Styela clava: one gene and its partners. The protein of the gene in region 3 purifies or fractionates together with the protein of the main gene of each other region. This does not show direct contact. Links are inferred from orthologs where the notes say so. Each region holds a gene or a part of one and is shown on either strand. Other genes may lie near its edges. The genes, in order: 5'-3' exoribonuclease 1-like, enhancer of mRNA-decapping protein 3-like and enhancer of mRNA-decapping protein 4-like.

The links.
Region 1: the proteins of enhancer of mRNA-decapping protein 4-like (region 3) and 5'-3' exoribonuclease 1-like purify together in Homo sapiens (co-immunoprecipitation; 4 studies listed by BioGRID and IntAct, with this or other methods). This does not show direct contact. The link is inferred for Styela clava from reciprocal best matches to the Homo sapiens genes EDC4 and XRN1.
Region 2: the proteins of enhancer of mRNA-decapping protein 4-like (region 3) and enhancer of mRNA-decapping protein 3-like purify together in Homo sapiens (affinity purification with mass spectrometry; 6 studies listed by BioGRID and IntAct, with this or other methods). This does not show direct contact. The link is inferred for Styela clava from reciprocal best matches to the Homo sapiens genes EDC4 and EDC3.

Annotation. Positions count from the first base shown.
Region 1 is NC_135252.1:5,381,265-5,389,187, forward strand, and holds the start of 5'-3' exoribonuclease 1-like, read left to right. Parts: upstream 1-4,614; 5' UTR 4,615-4,834; coding exon 4,835-4,909; intron 4,910-5,553; coding exon 5,554-5,685; intron 5,686-6,134; coding exon 6,135-6,235; intron 6,236-7,282; coding exon 7,283-7,490; intron 7,491-7,923. Other genes in the region: uncharacterized protein LOC144420883, read left to right, coding at 3,008-3,424. UniProt on the Homo sapiens protein: Major 5'-3' exoribonuclease involved in mRNA decay. Required for the 5'-3'-processing of the G4 tetraplex-containing DNA and RNA substrates. The kinetic of hydrolysis is faster for G4 RNA tetraplex than for G4 DNA tetraplex and monomeric RNA tetraplex.
Region 2 is NC_135253.1:11,259,652-11,267,884, forward strand, and holds enhancer of mRNA-decapping protein 3-like, read left to right. Parts: upstream 1-4,877; 5' UTR 4,878-5,317; coding exon 5,318-6,700; 3' UTR 6,701-7,518; downstream 7,519-8,233. Other genes in the region: palmitoyltransferase ZDHHC16-like, read left to right, coding at 7,596-8,233. UniProt on the Homo sapiens protein: Binds single-stranded RNA. Involved in the process of mRNA degradation and in the positive regulation of mRNA decapping. May play a role in spermiogenesis and oogenesis.
Region 3 is NC_135262.1:19,089,028-19,097,658, forward strand, and holds the start of enhancer of mRNA-decapping protein 4-like, read right to left. Parts: upstream 3,673-8,631; 5' UTR 3,613-3,672; coding exon 3,522-3,612; intron 3,280-3,521; coding exon 3,215-3,279; intron 3,054-3,214; coding exon 2,998-3,053; intron 2,166-2,997; coding exon 2,054-2,165; intron 1,971-2,053; coding exon 1,871-1,970; intron 1,783-1,870; coding exon 1,599-1,782; intron 1,314-1,598; coding exon 1,121-1,313; intron 718-1,120; coding exon 607-717; intron 1-606. UniProt on the Homo sapiens protein: In the process of mRNA degradation, seems to play a role in mRNA decapping. Component of a complex containing DCP2 and DCP1A which functions in decapping of ARE-containing mRNAs. Promotes complex formation between DCP1A and DCP2.

The DNA of each region.
Region 1 (7,923 bases), on a different chromosome or scaffold from region 3:
CCGGTACCGGTATGTGGTTCTTGAGAGCATAAAGTTGTTTGCTTTTTGCATGTACCACATGCACTTCTAGTTGGCCTGGCAGTGGCGCAATAAAGACCTCCAAAGTCGTCCAAAACGCGTAGACGATCACCCATAATCTAGCAAGCTATTTCTCTTGTTTTCTCGTCGCGACCAAAGTGATCCCGATATGAGAGAGACCACTGGCGTTAGTGAGTTCGTTATCGACGGCGCAGATGCTGTTTTGGGCGATCTTAGTTATAATTTGACAAGCTTTATAACGTGATTGTGACGTCGTAATGACGTAATTTTTGGATGACATAGTCAGGTGATGGTTAGGAATACGGTAACATATGCAAAATTCGTTACGCTACGACCACCGGAAGTACTTGTGGTACTAAACTATACTAGACTCCGTATGCCGGCTTGCAGGTCTGTTGTAGTGCTGAATGTATCTAGGGTTGCCAACCGTCCTTTATTTCAAAGGACAATCCTTTAATTACTGAATTAAGCTTTTCGGTCCTTGTCCTTTTTAGCATTTAGAAAAGATGCTGATTGTCCTTTATTCTTTCCAACGTCGTTTTGCCCGGAGGAGTAAAAATCGCCTCCGTTTATGTATTTGCAAGCTTTGAATTATTCTTTTTAATTTCGCTTTAGTCCGGCTCAAATAGCCAAATAAATAACAATTTTATTAACATTGTTTGGGCCAATGTTAAATACACATTAAATGAAAAACACATGAAGATTGCTTCAATATATCTTTTTAGCTTGTATATAATTCTTATTTCATTGTTTATATTGTACTTTCCTGCAAGTTACAAAATAAATGATGACGATAATTTATGTCCTTTATTGAAACTTTTCATAGTTGGCAACCCTAAATGTATCCCTTTTTTATGAGATCAGGAGATTGACTCAACCCAGCGAACTTTTTTGAAGTTACCACCTTCAGACATTGTGACACTGTTAGTGTTTTTCCCATTGTACTGTATTATTTAGGAGGCGCATGTTCACAAGCACTTACGTGGTAATTCGTAAAGGTTAGCACTTCATCAGTTACTTTTTTTCTGTTACTTTGCATATGTCTTAATTAACTGTTATGAAACTTTGAGGAAATTCAGAAATTATCTGTTAGCTCTCAATGAACCCTTATTTTTGCAAACAACTCCACTGTCAGACTATACTCCTATAAGCTTTGTCAGCTTTTATAACAGTGAAATCAATCAATCATTTTGGTTCTCTGACATAAACAATACAAAAAGTAAACAGACAAACAAAATGCAGAGATACTTTGGAGACGGGCATAACTTGAAAAAAGTTAAAAAGTGTACAATGTACATGCCCGCCCAGCAAAAAAGAATAGAACAACCACAGAAAAACGTGATTTACAATCGGGCAGTACTTTAAAAGCAAGTTAACAAAAACAGCAAATTGAAGTGAATAATTGAATGTAATAAACTTCTACCTTTTAAATTGAAATGTGCGACGTGTATGGGCTATGGGTGCCATGCCAAGTGACACTACAGGACAATTCCCAGAAATTTTGCACGTTGTTAGATGCAATATATTTTTACATTTTCAGCTACATGTTTTTGTTTCATTGTCCAATCAATTGCTTCATTGAATACTGGAATATGGAAAAAATTGCACAAAAGTTACACACGAGACTTACTAAAAAATACAGTAAAATATAGCGTGACACTAGAGGACGGAAAATCCACCATGGATTAACGTTACATTGTGTTGTGCTGTAAATTTTTGTGATGGCACGGCAGGAGCCCATAATATTTTCTGGTGCAGTAGCTGAAGGACCCCCCTATGTGTTGCTCAAGTTACTTAATGTAACACTGTAAATCTATGCCAATAATGTTCATCTTGTATGTGACACTGCAGGACGTGACATTACAAGACATTTTTCCACTTTGGAACAGCGGCCTCTATCATCTCTTAAAATCCTGGTAATAAATCGTTAAATGGGTGAGAAAAAGCCCTAGAGCACTGCAATCATTTAAACTTTGTTAACTTAAATCCAGTGCGTCTATTTCATATGAAATAACTGTATCACACAAACACTTTGTGTCAGGAATCATCACGAAATATGTCAATTATACCAGAATTTCTACATTTCAGGCCATTATTTTTATAAACTATCAAAAACCTGGGTGAAATTTCAACTTTTTCGGTGAAATGGATGCAGTCCATGAATTTCTAATGTTTTTTGATATAAAAAAATTCAAAAAAATTACTTTCACTAAACTTTAGAAAAATTTGATGAAATTCAACTTTTGCTTGGAATGGCCCGTATGTGTAACACAACAGTGCTTTTCCTACGAAAAACATGGAACAAAAAACACTTCCTGATGCAAAATGGTGGTGCTGTAGGCCTAGGTCAATTTCATTGCAAAAACAACACAGTGACAAAAAATTGTTCCTAAAAAAACAAGCTTGGTAAATAGATTGAATGTTCCATAGCAGTCTATGCACAAGTCATGGATTGGGGAATCGGGTTCTTTTGTCGTTTTCGATTAGTTCAATTTAAAATCATTGTATCCGTTCCAATGCATCCAACGTCAATATCAAATTTCCACGAACGACCACTACTCCAAAAGGTGCAGTGGTCCCATCTTTTCTGCGCTCCCTTCCATCATCAACAACCAGTTTCATAAAAGGATCGAAACCTCGCAATATACCCGTAACAGATCGTCCACCATTTAACTTTAAATCCAATCTTTTATTCATAAATCATGGCATTGTTCTGATATTGTTTGCTTGCAGAAATATTTTTCCATTTCTATTTGCTTCACAAAATTATTGTTAAATAATGAAATAAACAGTACACTATATTTTAGTATTTTGGCATATTCCAAGTATTCACTCTTACAATAGTCTGATAGTGGTACCGCCTTTATATCCAGATATATTATACAAGTAGATCTGGAGAATGTATTTAATCATTCCTTACTTGTTTAGTTAGCAAAATATTTTTTTAGTAATTAGAAAATAGATAATCATGGAAGAAGCATTAAACAAGTTCGAAACTATGGTTGGATCGGCAGAGAAGAAATTGGACAATATTGAAAAGAAAATTGATGCTGAGTTTTCTAAACATTTAAATTGTGAAGATGATGATGACGATGATGCCGAGAATAAATTATCTCTTTTGAAAAAATTAGAAGAAGTCAAAGCAGAATATTCAACCTTGTGTAAAGAAGCGGCAGAAGTGAGCACAGCGCAAAGACAGATGGCTGAAGCATTTCAACAAGAACTTTTAGCTCAAGTTAAGCAGTTACAAATGCTCCAAGATCGTGGTTTTACTGGATCTGATAGAAGATTAGATGGTGACGCAGAAGCTGCTGTAAATACTTTTGTTCAAAAATCTGATGGACAAGATAGTAGTTTAATGCAAAGTGCAAATGAAACACGATGATACAGGTTTTGTTAACAGCAAACTATAATATAGCTTTGATAATAATGCACTTGGATCATTAAAATGTATCTCATTGTCACAAGACTGTCAAAGTAAAATGGAACGAAGATCTGGTGATATGCCTTGTACTGTTGTATGATAAGAGTTACATAGTACACTGCCAATAGAATAAAAAGTTCACTGAAGTCCTAAAATCCCTATGTAATTCGTGGATAAACTTCTATTTTACATGACATACGGTAAATGGATATTATCCACAAAAATGTACAATACAGTATATTTTATCAGTTATATGATAAAGTTAATATTGCATATTATGACAGAGAAACAATAACTACTGAACGTTTTCGAAGTGAATTCAAAATATTGTCAAAAGTAATTGATACGTTCTATGTTGGAACAATTTGTGAGATATATTTAGTTTTAAACTTAACTTCTATTATTGAATTATTGATAGTTTTCATGTAGTGGACTATTACGGTAATTGCTTCTCGCATATACTTTGGAGATCCAAACTCCATCTATACACTGTACAGACATCTGTACCCCAATACAGGAATTCCAAGAATAGTAAGATGGCCTTCTAAGCTACACTTTTGGGTATTATCAAATAATTTGAAATATTAATAATAGTCAATATATAGAAGTCTAATTTCATCAAGGTTTCAAGTTTGTGGTTGTTTGGAAATCTTACCTTTCATGATTTTTTCTTTTTGGCGTAGTAGCTATATACAAAGCTTTTATGAAGTGCTTTAACACTTCACACTTGATGTCAATTATCAACATTTACTGTAGTCTGTGTTATGTTCATGGACATCATTTTTGTCATAGGCACTATTGTGTTCACAGAGATATGTGAGATATGGGTGAGGCTCAATTCAATTGTTATCTGTGTTTTGTAACTGACAGTCGACAAAAATTTGAAGGTCATATTAAATTTCTTGAAACGCTGAACTTTTAGTCATGGTTATTTCAACATTCAATAAATGCCGGTTTTGTGTGTTTTTTTAACTACTTTCACTTATTTTTCATGATATTCATGAAGCGTTGGGTTTTACATTTTGTAATCAAACTAGGCTTTGATGACGAGAACATGGGTGTTTCCAAGTTTTATCGATGGATCAGTGTTGGATGTTATTTTTGTCATAGGCGCTATTGTGTTCACAGAGATATGTGAGATATGGGTGAGGCTCAATTCAATTGTTATCTGTGTTTTGTAACTGATAGTCGACAAAAATTTGAAGGTCATATTAAATTTCTTGAAACGCTAAACTTTTAGTCATGGTTATTTCAACATTCAATAAATGCCGGTTTTGTGTGTTTTTTTACCTACTTTTACTTATTTTCATGATATTCATGAAGCGTTAGGTTTTATATTTTGTAATCATATTAGGCTTTGATAACTAGAACATGGGTGTTCCCAAGTTTTATCGATGGATCAGTGAAAGATATCCGTGCCTCAGTGAAGTGGTGAAAGAATATCAGGTTTATTGCTATTAAGTTACTTATTATGATACTATGTTCAAATTTTCAAACTGCTATAGGAATAGCATATTGCCGTTGTCCAATAATATTGTGATGTATTAATATCAAAATCATGGTTTATCTTGTTGTGAATCAGAGAGTGACACAAAATAATATTGTAATAGCGTTTTGAAAAATAGATTTTTGGATTCACGCTGTGTCCTTGGTTAGAAAAATGCTAGCTAGTTGTCTATCTAGATCAGGAGTGTGCAACCTTTAATACAGGAGGGCCAGATACAAATAACTTGGTGAAACTGCGGGCTGCACCTGTATTTGACATAGGCTTTCTAGTAGTTGCAGGCACAAAATTCTTGATTATCTGATCTCATGACATGCGAACTACAAACTAGCTGTTAGTGCACTGTAACGTCATATGCTGGGCGTTGCAGCGCAAAGGGATTGGAATTACTTGCACTCACCAGATTAAACTAAATTAAAACTCGTTTCTCTGACCGCACATCATTCAAAATTGGAACTTCTCTGCGAGCCGCACAAGTTTTCCTTGTGGTCCGCAGGTTGCACACCCCTGATCTAAATCAATAGAATCTATTTGTTTGGATTATCCAATATGTATATTGATTCACTATTTGAATTTATTATTTTAGGTTCCAGAGTTTGACAATCTGTATTTGGATATGAATGGTATCATTCATGTTTGTTCACATCCAAATGATGATGATCCTCATTTTCGAATTACCGAAGAGCAAATCTTTAAAGATATATTTCACTATATAGAGGTACTTGCTGTGCAAATTCTTTACTTCAAAGTTCATTGTTTATTTCAGTCTGTATGATTGCGATGTCTACTATATTTGATATATAGCACATAGTATAATCTTAAAAAAGCGTCTAAAATGAGCAATTAACGTAGGATATGTTGACCAAAAAAGGGTTCTCTCCACTTTTTATAACCGTGTGTTGTTTTAAATAAAAACTCAATATAATTTTCTGTATTTTGACGAAATTTCTTTCTCTAAACTTGACCATATTCGGAAATATTCAAAATTTTCATACATAGACTTTATTCAAAACATATTTTATAGTATGGTGTTTACCAGCAAGCCTGCCATATGGACAGTGCCTTAAACTTCTTGACATTGGCTAGCTTTAAAAATAGAGATTGACAGAAAATGCTTTTGTATTAAAATTTCAATAAAAATCCTTTCAAAATTTCATGTATGTACAGGTTTTATTTCGTATTGTTCGTCCAAGAAAAGTGTTTTTCATGGCAGTCGATGGTGTCGCTCCACGTGCAAAAATGAACCAACAAAGAGGCAGAAGATTTAGGTTGCACAAATTATTCATGTTTACAATGTTTTTTTCTTTATTGCAAGTAATCCATGTAACCGTGTAACATTTGTTCAAGCAGAAGTTGTGTTGTATTACAGTGCTGCCATGTCCAAAACAAATAGAATATTTTTGATTACATTCAAAGCACACAGAGAAAACAATGACCTTTTATATTTGTGTCGTTTTAGATGTGATCAACAATGTAATTTCCGACATAAACTTTCCCCAATTTAGAATGTAGTCGATATTTCATATTCAGAAGTCATTTCTCTGAATGTATTCGAAATAGTAAAATATTCGGTTTTAGCCATCCCTGGCACTAACTCTTCCTGTCTGGTAGTCAGCATGGTCACAAAGAATCTATCTATATCAGTGGTTCGCAACTTTTTTCGATACATTCCTCTTTTTGCCTAGTCTGGCTAGGTTGCACAGTTTGAATAGGCTTTATAGTTTGTTCATAATTATGGATTACAAGGATATTGAATGAATGAACAATACTAGTAAAACTACATCGAATACAAAGTAATATTTTTGTATCTCCTTCCCGAAAACAACAAAAATTTCTCCCTGGAGATGAATTCTTTCTCGGCTGGGAAACACTGGGCGGGCTAAATAGTAGCTGATTTTATCTAATCATACTCTTTATTGGTATAGTGCTGACATGGGCAAACTACAGCCCGCAGGCCAAATCCGTTGGGTAATTTAATCCTGCCTGCCTGATGCTGCCACAACCAAACTAAAACCAAATTTTGATGTTTTAGCTAAAGATGAACTCAAGAAATTTGGTGAAATTTCGATTACATTTAGTTTTGGCACAAGCCCTATTGTTTTCCACATTTGCTTTTGTAACACTGTAAATATTGTTCATAAAATGTAACTTTTTACGTCACACTTAAGTGGCTCGTCAGTGTTGGTGAGCAAATATTTTGCCCCCCGGTCCAAAAACGTTGCCCACCCCTGGTATAGTGTGTTTAGGGAAAATTCAACTTATCAACTCTACAAGTTTCTCTATAAACTGAATGCTATACCTCTTTGACAAATCAGATCAGCCAAAGAAGCAGAAGAAAATATTCAAAAGGCATTGAAAAAGGGTGAAGTCCTACCTGATGCCAAAAGATTTGATTCAAATTGCATTACACCTGGTACTAAATTTATGGTTAAACTTCAAGAGCAACTTGAATATATGGTGAAGAGCAAAGTGACTACAGACCCAGCATGGCAAGGAATCAGGATTTATCTGTCTGGTCATGAGGTGTGTTGAAAATCAGAATTATCATATTTAAATTATGAATAATCTTTGTGGGTGCTCTTTATTGTGAAGGGTTGCCATGGCACGATACACATCTCTGGTTCAAATTCCATGACCACCATCTGATCCGGGGAAAGCTTTCGGTCTTTCCAAAAATAATAGCTCCTCACTAACGTTAGATATCGGTGGATGCTTGCACAGGGCATTTTTCAGAGGGAAACGAGTGAATATCTATGTTTGAAAATGTTACTAGATGTCATGTAGATAGACATTTACATATTCGTTTTTAGTTCTTCCATTATTTGACTAGATTTCATAATTTTTTGCGATGAGTGTCCTAATTGAGTGTACGAAATATTTTCGCATTTCATCAGTATTTCAAAGTGTATTTCGGCTCTGTTTTTTAACCCCCAACTTGCACTTTTACTTAAATACT
Region 2 (8,233 bases), on a different chromosome or scaffold from region 3:
TATATAACGATACAAATAATGATATAAGACAAAAAAATATTTACATATATATATAGAATCTACAATGAGACAAGACATGGAAATAAAGAGGAGGTTATAGAAAGGTAAAAGTTGTGTAAAGTAGAATTCAAAGAGAATGGTGTATTTTTACTTTGGATTTTTTGTTTTGGACGGTTAAAACATATTCTCAATTAAATGTACTTTGCTACGCTAAAAATACTTACACTCGCATTGTTACCATTTTGTGAAATAGTTGGTCTATCCATGTCGGGAAGAAAAAAAAAATTTTAAAGTTTATACCACCTGGGCTTTTTGAAAAAATACCGCTTTTGACACAATTTTTGACGAGCTTATTATTTCACTGTCCTATATGGCGGCATTGTAAATAATTAAAAGTATGACTCGCTCGAATCTACTTTTAGAAAGCATTTTAATACTAACGAAATCTATTTAATGGGAAGAGGAATGCTAACCACAAATTTTTAATAATATAAATCTTTTGAGGGGAATTTGAAATTCGAATATTCAAAGTATGTTACTCTCAATTAATTCTTAAGAATTGAAAGCCGAATTGAAACACCATATATATTTAGAAGAAGAAGAAGGACTTTACCTTAGTAACAGTTCATTGTTTTCATCAGTTCGTTTTTTGATCAGGTTTTCCACCTCGAATATATATATATATCATGTTCTATGAGAGTTCATTTCGATTGTTCGACAACACAGTCCATATTCATAATTTTAACGTTTCCATATTTTATTCGATTTAATTCATTGTTTCGTCATGATGTTTTGATTGTTCCGGCTTGTCAGCAATTTGATCCTTGAACGCTTTTGATGTGTATATATATGGTTTCTCATCAATCGTTGAGAGCTGCGGAAAGAAAACAGAGATATTAGATCAGCATGGGCCCCAATTTACGACTAATATGGTAGATGATGGAAAGGAAACTTATCTTTCGCTTGGTCAGCTTTTTGGTTGATTTCGTCAAATTGTTGCCTGTCCTGGTGTTGTCCGTACTTGTGGTTGAAACCGGTGATCCGGTCTGTTTCAGAAGGTTAATTCCAGTCGGTTTTGTCACCATTTATAGTGATTTGTTACCACTACACATAAATTGTTTGTTGACTGATCATCTTTGCGGATCATGACCCCAGTATTGACTGACAATAATTTTGTCTTGCGTTCGTTAACTCGAACTGTACATCTTTCGATAGCCTTCGGCCGTGGTAAATTGACGTTTGAAACACCCTATGAGTTTTATTCGTATATAGCAGTAATCTATGGATGATAGAAATAAATTCTGAGATACATATTGTTAAACTACTTCCGTAACAGACAATAAAATAGATGAATATGTAATCCCATATTTGATGTTAGTACGATGTTAGTTGGCATATATAGGTGGGTCAACAGCTACTAGACTACAGTCACTCTTAAGTAAGTTAGGCATTTTTGATACCAATTTTTCACAAAGTATGCAAACACCACATCATTTGATGGGATGCATGTCGCGCATATTTGTCTTAGGCCAGTAAGGTATTGAACATGTATCCCGTCTTAATTATTTTGTAGATACTGTTACAAATAAACACACATACATTTTACCTTGAATTCATGCTAAGAACAGGCCGAACTACTGTTAACGAGCAAAAAATTCCCCTCGTTTGTTTGCAAGCACTTCGGCGCGTTAAAGAACTTTAGTAAATACCAACGACTGGTGAATACCGATTCTCGGTAAAATGATAGAAGAAGGCACTTTACGAGACGTCTGTTTTGGCGCGCAAAAAAATCTCTCGAATATTAACGATACTTCGAGAATACCACTTTTGCCTTTTACGAGAAAGTGGGTGCTCTACTAACACGTTACGGTTAAACGATAAAGAAGTTGGGCGAATGGGGCCCCAGGTCGAGTATGGGATTAGTTAGCCAGTTTTTTTGTTTTCGGAAGCATGGACTTGATGGTGGAGGAAGCCGTAACGGACCATCGGTTACGTGAACCACCCTACGGCGGTGAGGAGTCCAGCAATCTTCTCGCACATTGTCATCCTGCATGGGATTCGAACCTGCGAACCCACGAATGGTAGTCAGGTGGGAGTTAGGAATACCATATGCAAATATGTTTGTGCCACATCAACTAAAAGGAGGACGGACTAAAAGTAGGCACTTGCAAATTAGGCACTTTTTTAGGCACTTATTAGACACTTTGGAAAAAAAATAAAAAGGGCGTAATACCTTTTAAAAACATAATTAATTAGTTAAAAATGGTCAAATGAAATGTTGAAAACGCAAATTGCAACGGGCAAACTCAATAACAATATTTAAAACGTAGTATTAAAGGCAGTCGCACGCGCTTGGTCACTACATATGCTAGGCACATATTTAGGCACTTCGAAAAATAAAGAAAATGGCAATTATCTCTAATAAAAGACAGAGACATAAACATATTACCCACACTGATTAGCCTGGGTAAATATCCAATAGATGCACTTGAGTCTAGTACTGGAATTTAGAAATAATAAATTGTTACCGGTAGGCACTTATTTAGGCACTTCGGAAAAAAGGTGAAATGGACGTAGTAGCTCCTAAAAAGGTAATGAATTAGTTCAAAATATTTAAATTAAATGTTGAACGCGAAAACTGCAACAGTTAAATCCAATAACGATTTTTAAAACGTAGTATTAAAGGGAGACGCACGCGCTCTGTCTCCACGTATGCTAGGCACATATTTGGGCACTTCGAAAAATAAAGAAAATGGCAATTATCATTAATAAAAGACAGAGAAATAAAAATATTACCCACACTGATTAGCCTGGGTAAATATCCAATAGATGCACTTGAGTCTTGTACCGGAATTTAGAAATAATAAATTGTTGCCGGTAGGCACTTTTTTAGGCACTTATTTAGGCACATCGAAAAAAAGGTGAAATGAGCGTAATAACTTTTAAAATGATAATTAATTAGTTGAAAATTGTCAAATTAAATATTGAACACGCAAATTGCAATGGGTGAACCGAATAACAATATTTAAAACGTAGTATTAAAAGGAGTCACACGCGCTCGGTCACCACATATGCTAGGCACATATTTAGGCACTTCGAAAAAAGAAGAAAATCGGAATTATCACCAATAGAAGATAGAGAATTCATTATTCTAGGAGTTACTACGGCCATTTCACCTTTTTTTCGAAGTGCCTAAATAAGTGCCTAAAAAGTGCCTACCGGTAACAATTTATTATTTCTAAATTCCAGTACTAGACTCAAGTGCATCTATTGGATATTTGCCCAGGCTAATCAGTGTGGGTAAAATTTTTATTACTCTGTCTTTTATTGGTGATAATTCTGATTTTCTTCTTTTTTCAAAGTGCCTAAATATGTGCCTAGCATATGTGATGACCGAGCGCGTGTGACTCCTTTTAATACTACGTTTTAAATATTGTTATTCGATTCGCCTATTGCAATTTGCGTGCTATACATTTAATTTGACAATTTATAACTAATTAATTATTATTTTAAAAGTTATTACGCCCATTTCACCTTTTTTTTCAATGTGCCTAAATAAGTGCCTAAAAAGTGCCTACCGGTAACAATTTATTATTTCTAAATTCCAGTACTAGACTCAAGTGCATCTATTGGATATTTACCCAGGCTAATCAGTGTGGGTAATATTTTTATTTTCCTGTCTTTTATTAGTGATAATTGCCATTTTCTTTATTCTTCGAAGTGCCTAAATATGTGCCTAGCATATGTGGTGACAGAGCGCGTGCGTCTCCCTTTAGTAATACGTTTTAAAAATCATTACAGTATTGGGTTTAACTGTTGCAATTTTCGCGTTCAACAATTAATTTAAATATTTTGAACTAATTCATTATCTTTCTAGGAGTTACTACGTCCATTTCACCTTTTTTTTCGATGTGCCTAAATAAGTGCCTAAAAAAGTGCCTACCGGTAACAATTTATTATTTCTAAATTCCAGTACTAGACTCAAGTGCATCTCTTAGATATTTACTCAGGCTAATCAGTGTGGGTAATATGTTTATTCACTGTCTTTTATTAGTGAATATGCCATTTTATTTATTTTTCGAACTGCATAAATATGTGCCTAGCATATGTGGTGACCAAGCGCGTGCGACTGCCTTTAATACTGCGTTTTAAATATTGCTATTGAGTTTGCCCGTTGCAATTTGCGTTTTCAACATTTAATTTGACCATTTTTAACTAATTAATTATGTTTTTAAAAGGTATTACGCCCTTTTTACTTTTTTTCCAAGGTGCCTAAATAAGTGCCTAATTTGCAAGTGCCTACTTTTAGTCCGTCCCAACTAAAAGTACGGTACTTACCGCTTTTAGTGAACCTGCGACGACTAAACTGGGGGCGGGTCTCATGTAGTTTCGTACCTAACGTACTTCTAGTAGGCGTAGCATAACAATTTCTTCACATCTCAATCCTAACCCCCACCTGACCCCACCATCCCAAAATTACGTCACTACGACGTCACAGTGACGTAATAGAGCCCTTCAAACTATGCGAACTGTCATCCAAGACGCGCAGACGAGAACCCGAAATCGAACAGCCATTTCTCTCGTTTTCTCCTCGCAACGATCCCGATAGGAGAGAGATCGCTGACGTTAGTCATTTCTTTATCGTCGGCGCCGATGCTATTTCGGGCGATCGTATGAGTATTTGGCAAGCTCTATGACGTGATTGTGACGTCGTAGTGACGTAATTATCGGATGGCGTAGTCAGGTGAGGGTTAGGATTGGCATGTCAAAAAATTGTTATGCTACACCTACTAGAAGTACGTTAGGTACGAAACTACACGAGACCCCTGGGGTCTGGTGTACGGTACGGTAACATTAGCGAAGTCAGACTGTACGGTGTAGGTCTCTGTGCGTTTATACTTTTGGACGGACAACTCACCAGCGACACCAGGCTTCTGCCTCTCACTCTCAGCCTTTCTGTAATCGAGTTGTCGTCTCTGGTGTTGCTTGTTTACTCAGTTGTCCGTCAGCCTCATACCGTAGATCAGTAGATTGAAAAATTGTTTCATTTTTTGAAAATATTGATGTACTGTATTTTATGATAACAACACAGACATAGTTATTCAATATCTGTATATGCATTTTTACGTTTTGGATTTTTTTCTTTTTCCTATAGCCTAATGCTTTACCGGTATATGATTATAATATTTGAATATACTTTAATTGATTGATTGAACTTGGGAATGTTATTTTTTCATTTACATGATCATTTGATGGATACATTGATTTTGTAGGCCCTATAGCCTAGTTCTCTTCCAGTGTTCAGAAACCGAAAGTCATGACATCTTACGTTGGTTCCAATGTTACAATAAACTGTGGGGATGTAATAGGTCATTGTCAGGGAATCGTGAAAGAAGTAGACCAAAAATCACAAACAATTACAATTTCCAATCCATATCGAAATGGTTTTAAATGCCCACATAATGAGATGACAATTCCGTCGTCTGATATCGTAGAAATCACCATCATTGATGGCCTTCTTTCAACATTGGAAACTAAGGATAAGAAATCCCCAAAAATTGGGTTATCAAGTGTAAAAAAAGAAAAAAGGCCTAAAAACAATGAAAGCCGACAAGTTGGTATTACAGATAGAATACCAATGCATTCTAGTTCACCACAACCTGGCTCGGAGTATAAAGGTGGGAAAAAGTATTCAAAAGTACGGAAGGGTTTATATAATCGGGATGACGATACGTTTGATAACAACCCGCAAGATATGACTGAAGATTTCGATTTTGTCAAGAATCTTGCTCTTTTTGATAAACTTGCTGTATACAATGAGATAAACTCTGGAAGTGATGGAGAAAGTATGAGAACTCCATCAAAACAGAGACATAGAAAGGTTGAAGAGAAATACAAGCATGACGAGTTCGTTCTACAAAAAGGGCCTGTAATATACCGACAAATAATAACAAATGAGGTGACCAAATACGAAGTTTCAGAATATTACACAGATGCAGGACTTGTAGTTCCCACTATTTCAAATGATACCTACATACAAATATTGCATGCTGCTGAACTTATGGGTTTCGGAATGGATAGACAAACTGAAATATTTGGAGCTAATGCAAGTCTCATGGCTCTATCTGTATTGGGTGGCTGTAATAGGCTTCATCCAAGAAATTCACATCAGCCCCCATCTGCAGTTGTAATGTGTGGGCCTCATAGAACAGGTGCTCAAGGTGTTGCAACAGCGAGGCATCTTTCAAATCATAATGTAAAAGTGAATGTGTTCATGCCCAATTTTGTTAAAATACATGCTTGCCTACAAGAAGAATTAAGACTATTGTCTCTAACAGATGCTGTTGTTATTAGCGAATATTCTGAATTACCTACAAATCCTGTTGATTTAATCATTTCTGCGATGGATGAAGAAGATTGTGAATTTTTATATCAGCAATCTTGGTATCAACATTCCGTTCGTTGGTGTAATGAAAATCGAGCTCCTTTAATGTGTCTCTCTCCACCAGCTGCATTACCTCCAGATTTGCATATAAAATGGTCTGTGTGTGCAGTACTGCCTTTTTCACTTTCAGCAAAATATGGTGCTTTATACATGATTGATGTAGGAATACCAGTGAGAGCATTTGAAAAACTAGGAATTCAGTATCAGTCGCCTTTCTGTGGTAAATCTTTCCTTCATTTACACAAAAGTAAATGAGAAATGTACAGTACTTGCTTTTTTAATCTTTTAAATGCATTTTGTACCGGTATAAATGTGAGTGTGACCTTGGTCATTCGTATATTAAAGGTTTACCATCTCTTGGAAAATGTGCTGGTTAAATAAACATATTTGTTTTTTTTTTGCTCCTTCATTCCATTTCTCAATTTTTATCTTCCTTTTATTAATCTCAATATTGGAGAAAAGGGTTGACAGATGATAATATGGCACCTTGTAAAGGTTTTTATGAATGTTTGATAACCAAGCAAGACTCCACCCAACTATATGTGTGTGGATGGAGAGTCCAAAAGATCACCACTAGTCCACACTGCAGCTAAATATAAATACGATGCCATCAGCATATTAAAAATATCCATCTCAAGAAATGACATTGCAATGTTTGGTACTTGACTACAGTGTATAAATAAACAGTTTGCTGAAGGGAATTTACTTATTTCTCCTTGAAATATACTTACAGAATACAGAAAAAATCTCATCTAGTAATTTTGTTATAAACTTGGTCATTGTTAACGCCTATATTGGGGATCATTTTTTTGCTTTAACAAACCATTTTTGCCATTTAATTTATTCATTCCACCCTTTTCTGTAGATTGATTGTATTTATAAAATGCTGTAGTAAATGAATGAAGAATTTCTACTACCGGTACTTGTTTTTTTGAACTGGTCAGTTTTAGCCAGTATTGGGTACTTACAATGTATCACCTAGTTCAATACTGATTTCTTTGACAAAATTCCATTTTCTACAGTTGTTTTTGTATGACAATGTTCATCTAATGCTATTTTCATTTTTCTGTAGATTTATTATGGGTTTTTTAAAGCTAATTTATAATGCTGAACTAGTTAGTACCTTGTAAATAGTCGATGTTCCATCACAATGAGGATTCACTTTAGACGTCCAGATTTTTCCGGAATAAAATTGAGATGGAGATATCTGAAACTATGTTACCTATCATTGACTTATAACACCTATTCATCTGCAACAGAAGTCCTTTTTGAGCCCATCATAACTCTAGTGGATTTTGTTTCAAGATGGTTTGGTTTCGCCTTTGTTACATTGGTGACAATACTGGTTGCATATGTTGTTGTGGTTTATTACTCAATTGCAGTACCATATCTCATCTTAGCATTTTCATCAATACGAGCTGGAATAACTATTTTCTACGGACATTATCTTCTAATCATGATTAGTTTTCATTATTTTAAAGCAGTCCGTACCAATCCAGGAAGACCACCCAAAGATGCTTCAGAGAGAGCAGTAACATCTGTATGCAAAAAATGCATTCTGCCAAAACCACCAAGAGCACATCACTGCAGTGTTTGCAAAAATTGTGTTTTAAAAATGGATCATCACTGTCCATGGATCAATAATTGTGTGGGTCATTATAACCATCGATATTTTATATCATTTTGTATATTCATGTTACTTGGTACCATATTTGTGGTAACAACAACATGGCCAATTTTCACAGAATGTTTTAGTTTTCATAACAGAATGCAATTCGCCATGGATTA
Region 3 (8,631 bases):
AGGAATTAAATGCAGTATATGCATCATAGGCTAAATCAGTCTTCTCTGATTTGAAAGCAACATCCAATTTTTCAATAAGTAGGCTTAGACCATCATCCACATTCAGTTCATCCGCTGTTAGATCAGAAACAGCCTTTTCAGCTTTAGAATTGCCATCTAAAGACAAAAGTCGCACCAAAATTCCTTGTTTTTTCACCGGTATCTCAGTCACCGCTTTCCACATGTCCAGTTTATTTACCCACTCCATGTAGGTCAAATCTTCACCAAACTTTGGTGGTTGAAGTTGTTTTGCAGTCATTTTCCTCTGCTACCAATGTTAATTCGACTATTATCATATAATACAACCTTATATTACACGATCAGAATAGATATATATTAGCTTGCACAGCACCCATGCTGCAATCATCCCAAGCCAGCAGCAGATACAAAATCAATGAAGCGTAAAACAATAACAATGAAAGAAGTTAACAGGCAGTGTTGCCAGAAATAGACAAAACGAAATAGTACAAATATTACAATATCAACACACTGCGCCAGTCTATATAGCTACTGTAATTCAATTTTGAAAGGAAAATACTAAAATATCAAGTTATTATTCTCTCTTACATCATCATGTCCCTTTATTGTCATAAATGTTGATGACAATTTTGATCTGTCAGTTTCATTTTCATCATCGTGAGCTATTTCAAATGCACAATTAATGTCCCATATTTCAACCTGAATAGAATTGAATATTAGTATACAAATATAATAAGATTAAAGGTTACTTACAAATGAGAATGAAAATCATCTATATTATGCATGATATTATTTTAGATTTGTTTTGATTTCGAAGTTTGCACAATTTTGTTTGTAACATTTAAAAATGCTAAAATCTAATTATAAACTTGGCCATATATCATTATATCACTAGTCAATATATTATAGAATTTTGAAAAAGCCATTCCAATAAAAAAAAATTTTATTTGTGATTTTGGGGTACTTTGGTGAATATTGCTTCAAACTATAGCACCTATTTCTTTGGAGATATTCAAAAAAAATTTGAAATTTCAATTTTTATTATTTTGCCTTAAAACCCTCAATATCATCAATATGAGCAAGAAATCAACACTAAACTCACAATATTTCCATGAGTGACAACAAGAAGTCTCCTCTGATTTAGTGGATCAGCCTCCGTGTCATCATCTAATTTCAATAATTCTTCTTCCGGATTAGTGCCATCTATTTCACAATGCATGTATGTTAACCATACTAATCTGTGATACGGGCTAGCACTCGGATCTGAAGACTTCACATGAAGTTTTTTCGTAGACCTAAATATTATTAGTAATAGAAATTATAACTATCAGTAGAGATTGCACAAGACTAACTCCCAATCCTTTCTCAATGCATTTGTACTAGTGTATGCATATAATGCAAGGATGCTGTGGCAAGAATAAAAATACCATGCTGAGTCCTGCTGCACACTAACACAAATTTATTTCTGTAATGTTTCGTCTGACCAAAATCAGACTTCCTCACACCTGAGGAAGTCTGATTTTGGTCAGGCGAAACGTTACAGAAATTGCTTGATATTCAAGCACTTATTGTTGACATACATAGTGCTGTCCCCATTTTGTGATAGTTGCCAAATTATAAAATTTCCTTCTTCATCAACTGCTGATATGAGAGAAGATGTCGGATGAGCAAAAGCAACATCGCACACTGGAGCAGTAAATCCACGTAGTAACAAACGATCCGATGTGTTTTTCCGACTAATGACACGAACTGCATATGATCGACCTAAACAATTTTCAAAATTTCAATATACGAATAAAATTCAAATTACATCAGAGTCTCACAAATTCATAAACATATAATGAAAACATACTTTTAATAGCATATGCTGTATAGTCGTTTGTTACGGATACCAATGTTCCAGGATAATATTTGTGTTCCCATTCAAACTTTGTGATTGGACTAATTCTGACCTGAAAAAAATCAATGATAATCAAAAAATATGATAAATAATATCACAGGGAGCAAGATTGCAGATAATAACTAAACTTCGCACCTTGTCACTTCCAGAGGTATCTGCTTCCATATCGGCATTTCCGCTTGTTATTATTGAGACTTGATCACCATATATGGAAACGCATTCACCATCTTTTACTTGGGACAGATCACTAAATGATATACAAATGAAATATATTTATATATGGATAAAATTGCGTATTCTCATGTCAGAACAGAATGGCAGTGATAGAATACTAAATTTGATATTTTTTTAGACACATGTATTGAAATTCAACTCGTTTGGAAACTGACTTGAAAAGCATACTACAATATTTAATATTCATACCTAATGGCGTACATTTTTTCAGAATATGATATTTACACATTAAAATTTCCAGTTATACAGAACTGCAAAAAGACTATCATATTATAAAACTATATAAAACATTAATATGCCATGCAAAATCAATTTTAAATGGTTTAATCAAATATACCAAAGTCAAAGCACTGAATCCAGCAATTAGGAATCAATACAATTAGGCAATATCAAAAGGAAGCTGCATTAAGTAGGTTTTCCTTGAAGTAGATAACGAGCCATATGTAGGATTTCGTATGAATGATTTAATAATGTTCCTGTAAATTTATCATGATGTGATTGAAACACAAGTGCCCTTATGTGGGTAGTGTGTGTACCAGGTTAGGGTTACACCATACTTTTAGTCCGATTTTGCTTATTTTAGTTCTATTAAGAGTTCGGGGACTGTCTGTGTTAGCCAAGTGAATATACCCCCTGCCCATAAGCTCTAGTCCCTCTACACAACTTGATGTAATCAGGCAAACAAAATTAGTTACCTCCATATTGGTACACACACTTCTGGAGTGCACTTATGTGGATATATCAAAATAGAAAATGAAACTGTATATACTACAATTGTCATTTAAATGGAATGACTATACATATATATATATAAAATAGAACTATATTTTCTCAGTCTTACTTACATTCTTTGAGAACCACCCACATCCAATGATCCGGAAGGTTCTTCTTCCACAGCATCCTGTAATAACAAATATCTGTGAGAATATTCAATCATTAAGTTGTTCAATTCTCAAAATCAAATCCCATATTACAGATATATAACATGAGCAATTTATTTGATTATAACATACTTAGATATGACTAAAATAAATTTTATTATTTTGAGTATTGCCACTTTACCTTCTTTGAATCGACTTCAGAATTTTCTGTTTTAGGTGAGGGTTCTGATTCTTGAATTTCAGAATCTGAAAACAGATATAGTTATGCTGCAGTTTTCTCAATTGCATTTTGTAAGAGGACTTGTGTTACACTTATAAAAAATTATATAGCCTATTTATGTGAAGCATGCCATGATATTAATGTAGCTTACATTGAAACTAGTGACACATACATTTTTTGAAATAAGGAAACCAGAGTTTAGCACAAAATTTTTTTTTAAAACTTTGAATTGCATCACTGGCTATATTTAATCTTATTAAATACTGACCTCCCGAATTTCCATTAATTTTCAACATTCCTTTCAGTTGGTTAGTGAGAACATCTGCAGATTCCTCCTCTTTTCCATTTGAAAGATCCATTAATTAATTTGTTATTATTTTGTTTGAACTGCTCAATTCAAGATTCAAATAATGTCAAGGAATAGATTTAATCAAGGCAATGTATGTAAGTAAGATGATGATCCAAATATATATTGATATATCAGCAGTTATTAAAAAGAAGCATTTTACTCGGCTTCGAAAAGTCACTGATTATTGCATTACAAAAATAGCAAACATGTTTTTCAACATGCACACATGGATGTATCACAATGTTAGCTATTTTGCAAGAATTAATAGTGAAATTCTCATATGTAATTGACTGAGTGTAATTTGTTTGAGAAATGAAGTTCAGTTTATATATTCAAGATAGCAGCTAAGTAATTAATTAGCTTACAAAATTCCCTGGAAAAAATTGAATATGTGACTGAACAAATGCAGAGATACCCATACCTACACAACTCTTCTCTGAGGAAAGTTAAAAGATTATTGAAACCTCTGCATGCGACCAATTTTAAACCATTACTCCATGATGGAGCAAAACAATGGTTTGTAAAGTATGAAATCAAGAGATAATTCGCCACATTAGTGGAATCAAATTAGCTTGCTCAAGTCACATTTTTGTGTCTGTCCATAATGACAGAAGACCAAAACAATTTATTTTTAAAAAAATGGCAATGTTATAAAATAATTCGTTTTTGATAAGTTTCGAATGATTATGTATCACTTCAGCACTTGGCAGTGAGTAGGCACTAAGGTAGACCCCAAACTTTCTTTCCAGGGCAATAGACTTTAATCAAAACTGATCTGTTTGAATTAAACATTTGCAGAGGAAGCGTCAGCAGCTTCAACAAAGCTTTCTTGAGGGACTGCAGCTATGGGGTAACATACCAAATGCTTTTTTAAAGTCAATGTGGAACATTATTATCTGTACATTATTTGTATTTACAGTTTAAATACATATAAGACACACACATTATATATGTGGTACTGACTCGATTATGATGAAATCCATCTTCCATCTGGAATTATTATTTTTTTCTGCTTTATACACATGAAGCAATGTCAACAACTTTTTTTTGCAATCCATGATACCAGTACAGCCGTACCCTATTTTCCATTCACAATTGAAAGACAAAACTGCACAGCTACACAAGATAATATTGGGGTCTAGTATAGTTTATTACCACAAGTACTTCCAGTGAGCGGGCCTTATAACGTCATTGTGACGACGTAGTGACGTAATTTTTGGATGTGGATGACATAGTCAGGTGGGGGTTAGGAATGACATACGCAAAAATTGTTGGGACAGGTCAACTAGAAGTAGGCTACAGAAGTACGTGAGGTACTAAATTATACCAGACCCATTAATTACTACAGTACTAGTGGTGTCACACATATTCTTGCTTATTTCGGCTATTTGGAGTAAACACACAGACACACTTCTACTGAACATCAGTACCAGTAATCCAGAATGTCAGAGTTCATAAGTAATTACAAAACATAGTTCTTTATTTGTATACATGTCTGCATGTACAAGTGCTACCAAACATTGATGTGATTTTTATATCAGTATACAGGTATATGGTTGGTTATTTATGTTTGAAAAAGAGATTGTAACTTCGGTTTCCCAGTAATAAAATCGGTTTCTTGCTGTCTTTCAGTCTTTGGAGTAGGCCTATGGCTGTATGGGTATGGCAATGGCCCTACTGCCCTATGCGCAGTACACATTACAGCATTATGAAAAAATAATTTAATTACATATCACAAATTACAGAATTACAAAAACAGATATCGGCTTGTTTTAGTTGACGGGTCCTGTCACCTAGTCAGCAATAACTTGTAGCTGAATTGTAGCAGCAAATATCTGAATATAGCAATGGAATGAGCCAATATCCGAATATTACGGTACACATTTAACCTAATTCCAAAATTCTGTAAATGAACACAATCGCACAAAGAAAATATAACACAAAATACGGGAATGACTTAGGAATGAATATTACAATATTAAACATATACCGGTACTTAATTAAACACAATCAAATAAAAGAAACTAAGAACTGAAGAAAGTACAACAAAAAATGCAGAACAAAACACGAGATAGACTACCCAAATGAGTATTGCGACCACCCTTTTCTTGAATCAGGCCTGCAGGCTAGATATGGAAATAAACGAAGTAACTCGGAACATATAAACAATGACACAAGCCTACCTGTATTTAGGTATTCAGGTAATCATATTGCAGTATTGACAGACGCAAAATTGACAAACGACTGAACGAACGAAAAATCCGTTGTCTGCGCCGGTTTTATGTTTAACCGAAGGCACGAGATTGACATCTTGTGGGTGCTCATGAAGAACAACACTACTTTCGTAACAACGTTAAGAACAGGCAGTTGTTCAGATTGTAGATGAATGCGAATATTACAGTATAATAAGATTTTCATATTTATCTCGCGAAGAAGAATATCGATAAGAAGACTCAAGCATATGGAAAACCACTGCCCCAAGTCCGGTTACCAGTTCATGTCGGGTGTAGGAATAGTTGACCAGTTATTAGTTTCAGATGCGTGTACTTGATGGTGCAGGAACCCGTAACCTATCAGTGGTTACCGGTACGCGAACCACGTTTTTTTTATTTATTGAATAGGATATACCTGTACATATTCATCCCGGGCGAGAGGAAACCCAGTAAAACAGCTGATATAAATTTGTTGTCGGTAGATTGGAAGTTTTTACGGCGTATAATTATAATGTGGGGATTGTACCGTTCGAATAGGTTTTCTAGAAGAAAATTTATATGAGAGCGATGTTAATAATCCAGGACAGGGTGGTCCAAACCCAGGCCCGCGGGTTCACAAGTGACCCACCTCTTCATTATCTGTGGCCCGCGTCGCAAGGAAAAACAAAAAATCACACTCATAAAAATAACCAGAAAAACTTTTAGCATATTGTTACATCACTAATGTTACTGAATTGACTAGTGTTATGGCTAGCTGAGGCAACTATCGAAGTTGTATAGTTTGCTCGGCTAGTGTATATTGTAGACTGGCTTCCTTTTTTGTCGGGAATGTATGCTAACAAAATAGGCTTCATAAAACACTAAAAATCAAACGAGGAACCTAATAGTCTTGGTTGGTTATGTCTGATAACTAGGTATTAATGTAATGGCCGAACAATATAATTCTAGCCGGGTGTTTTTTCGCAACCAACCTAAACAGTATTACAAAATTTGCTGCCCATATGTTTGCCCAGAAAATTTGCTAATTACCCTTCTGTATCTCAAATTTGGTAAAATTCGACAATCAATCAATCTGCAGTCATTAGTGAGTTATTTTGGAAACATCGGTTTGAAAAGAAAGATGACTAATTCAAACAAACAACTAAAACGTAAAACTTTCTTTGTCGTGAGTTTGAAATCTTACACTAAATGTAGATATAGTAAGATTTTTGCACGTTTTATTGAGTTTTTTGGTGGATTTTACATGTTCTAGTTTGATAAATGACAAATAATAAATATTGTGTTTGGACAATGAAAATGTTTGTTTTGTAGCCCATTGCACTGTTTACCTATTCTTGGCACTATTGTGGCCCGCGAACAATACAAAAAGAATAATGTGGCCCGCGAGGCCGACATCCTTGAACTACCCTGATCTAAGAAAATGGTCCAAACATGATTCGCTTCAATATTGGCAGACAAAAATCTTTAATCCGAATCCCATTCTTTAGGCCAAATATTTTAATTAAATTTAGCTTTGAGAATTATATCTCGCTTTATTCCTTGTCTTTATCATATTCGATATATTTCACATGTATTTTAGCATCATCCTGCCACGCAGATAACTTCATATTCATAAAAAATATGTATGCTTGTAATACGTGCGACAATCAGTGCACACATGACTGCTTCGAGTGCACAGAATGTGAGACATCCATTTGGCACCAAAACTTTGAATGGAGTGGACAATGATTACAATTCTGATTATAGAAATTGTGCATTCTATGGTGGTGAATACAATGCCAATCTCGCTTTACAGCGAATCGCGACATATGCTGCATCTCACGCGATGGCTGCAGCACAATCGCAATTTATATGGTAACAAGAGAGTATCTTAATTGAAACCTACAGAGTGTTTATTTTTGCCTCGAGGTTCCTGAAATCTTTGTTGGCGCCAAAAATGCCACATCCGTGCAAATATTACAACCTAATGAATTGAATTAATCAGTACAAGACGATGAGAATGGCCACTGGTGGAACTGGAACTGGTTTTACAGAGCTATCGCCTTGGGTATAGCCCAGTGGTTCTCAACCCGGGGCCGGGGGCTCCCCAATGGGGCCACAAAGCAGTTCAAGGGGGGCCACGACACATGGCTGATAATTGAAAAAAAAGCGACTTTGTTTGCATACTTTCCGTTGAAAATAAAATTCCCTGTTCAGCGTTCACCACTGTTTCATTGCCTGAATAGGTTATTTGAGATCGCGGGGTCCATTGTATTCATTTTCTTGTGCATGAATTGTTTGATCATAATGGAATTTGGAATCTACCAGTCAAAATAGTTCCCCGGTAGGCCGTCTAACCTGTAGTTTTACTAGACTGCGAGATAACCTTCGCTATTGTATTATAGACGCAAAAACCCACTTGTAAATTCCTAATCCCCAAAATACGAAATGAAACGAACCACTGGTATAGCCTATATAGGAAAGGAATTTCACATGAATATATATATAAGACTAGCTTTCACTCTAGAGCTGTTGTAGTATCCTGAATTGTATGATTCCTCTACAAAAAAGTTTGTTTTATGTAATGACCTAGCGGTAATTCTAATTAGGCTACATCGAATTATAATGATGTGCCGCGGGACGGTTGCAACATGGAAATTTTCATGAATTTATCTATTTCTACCCAGCCAGCACCGCAATGGAAAACCCTGTAACATCGGAAATGCCGATTGTAGCGCTTGGCCATATTCAGGGAATCTCATACAATAGAAAAGTCGTGGGAAGGGACGTGAGATCGACAAGGGCCCCTATGGCACGTATCATGTGGTCTCCCACCA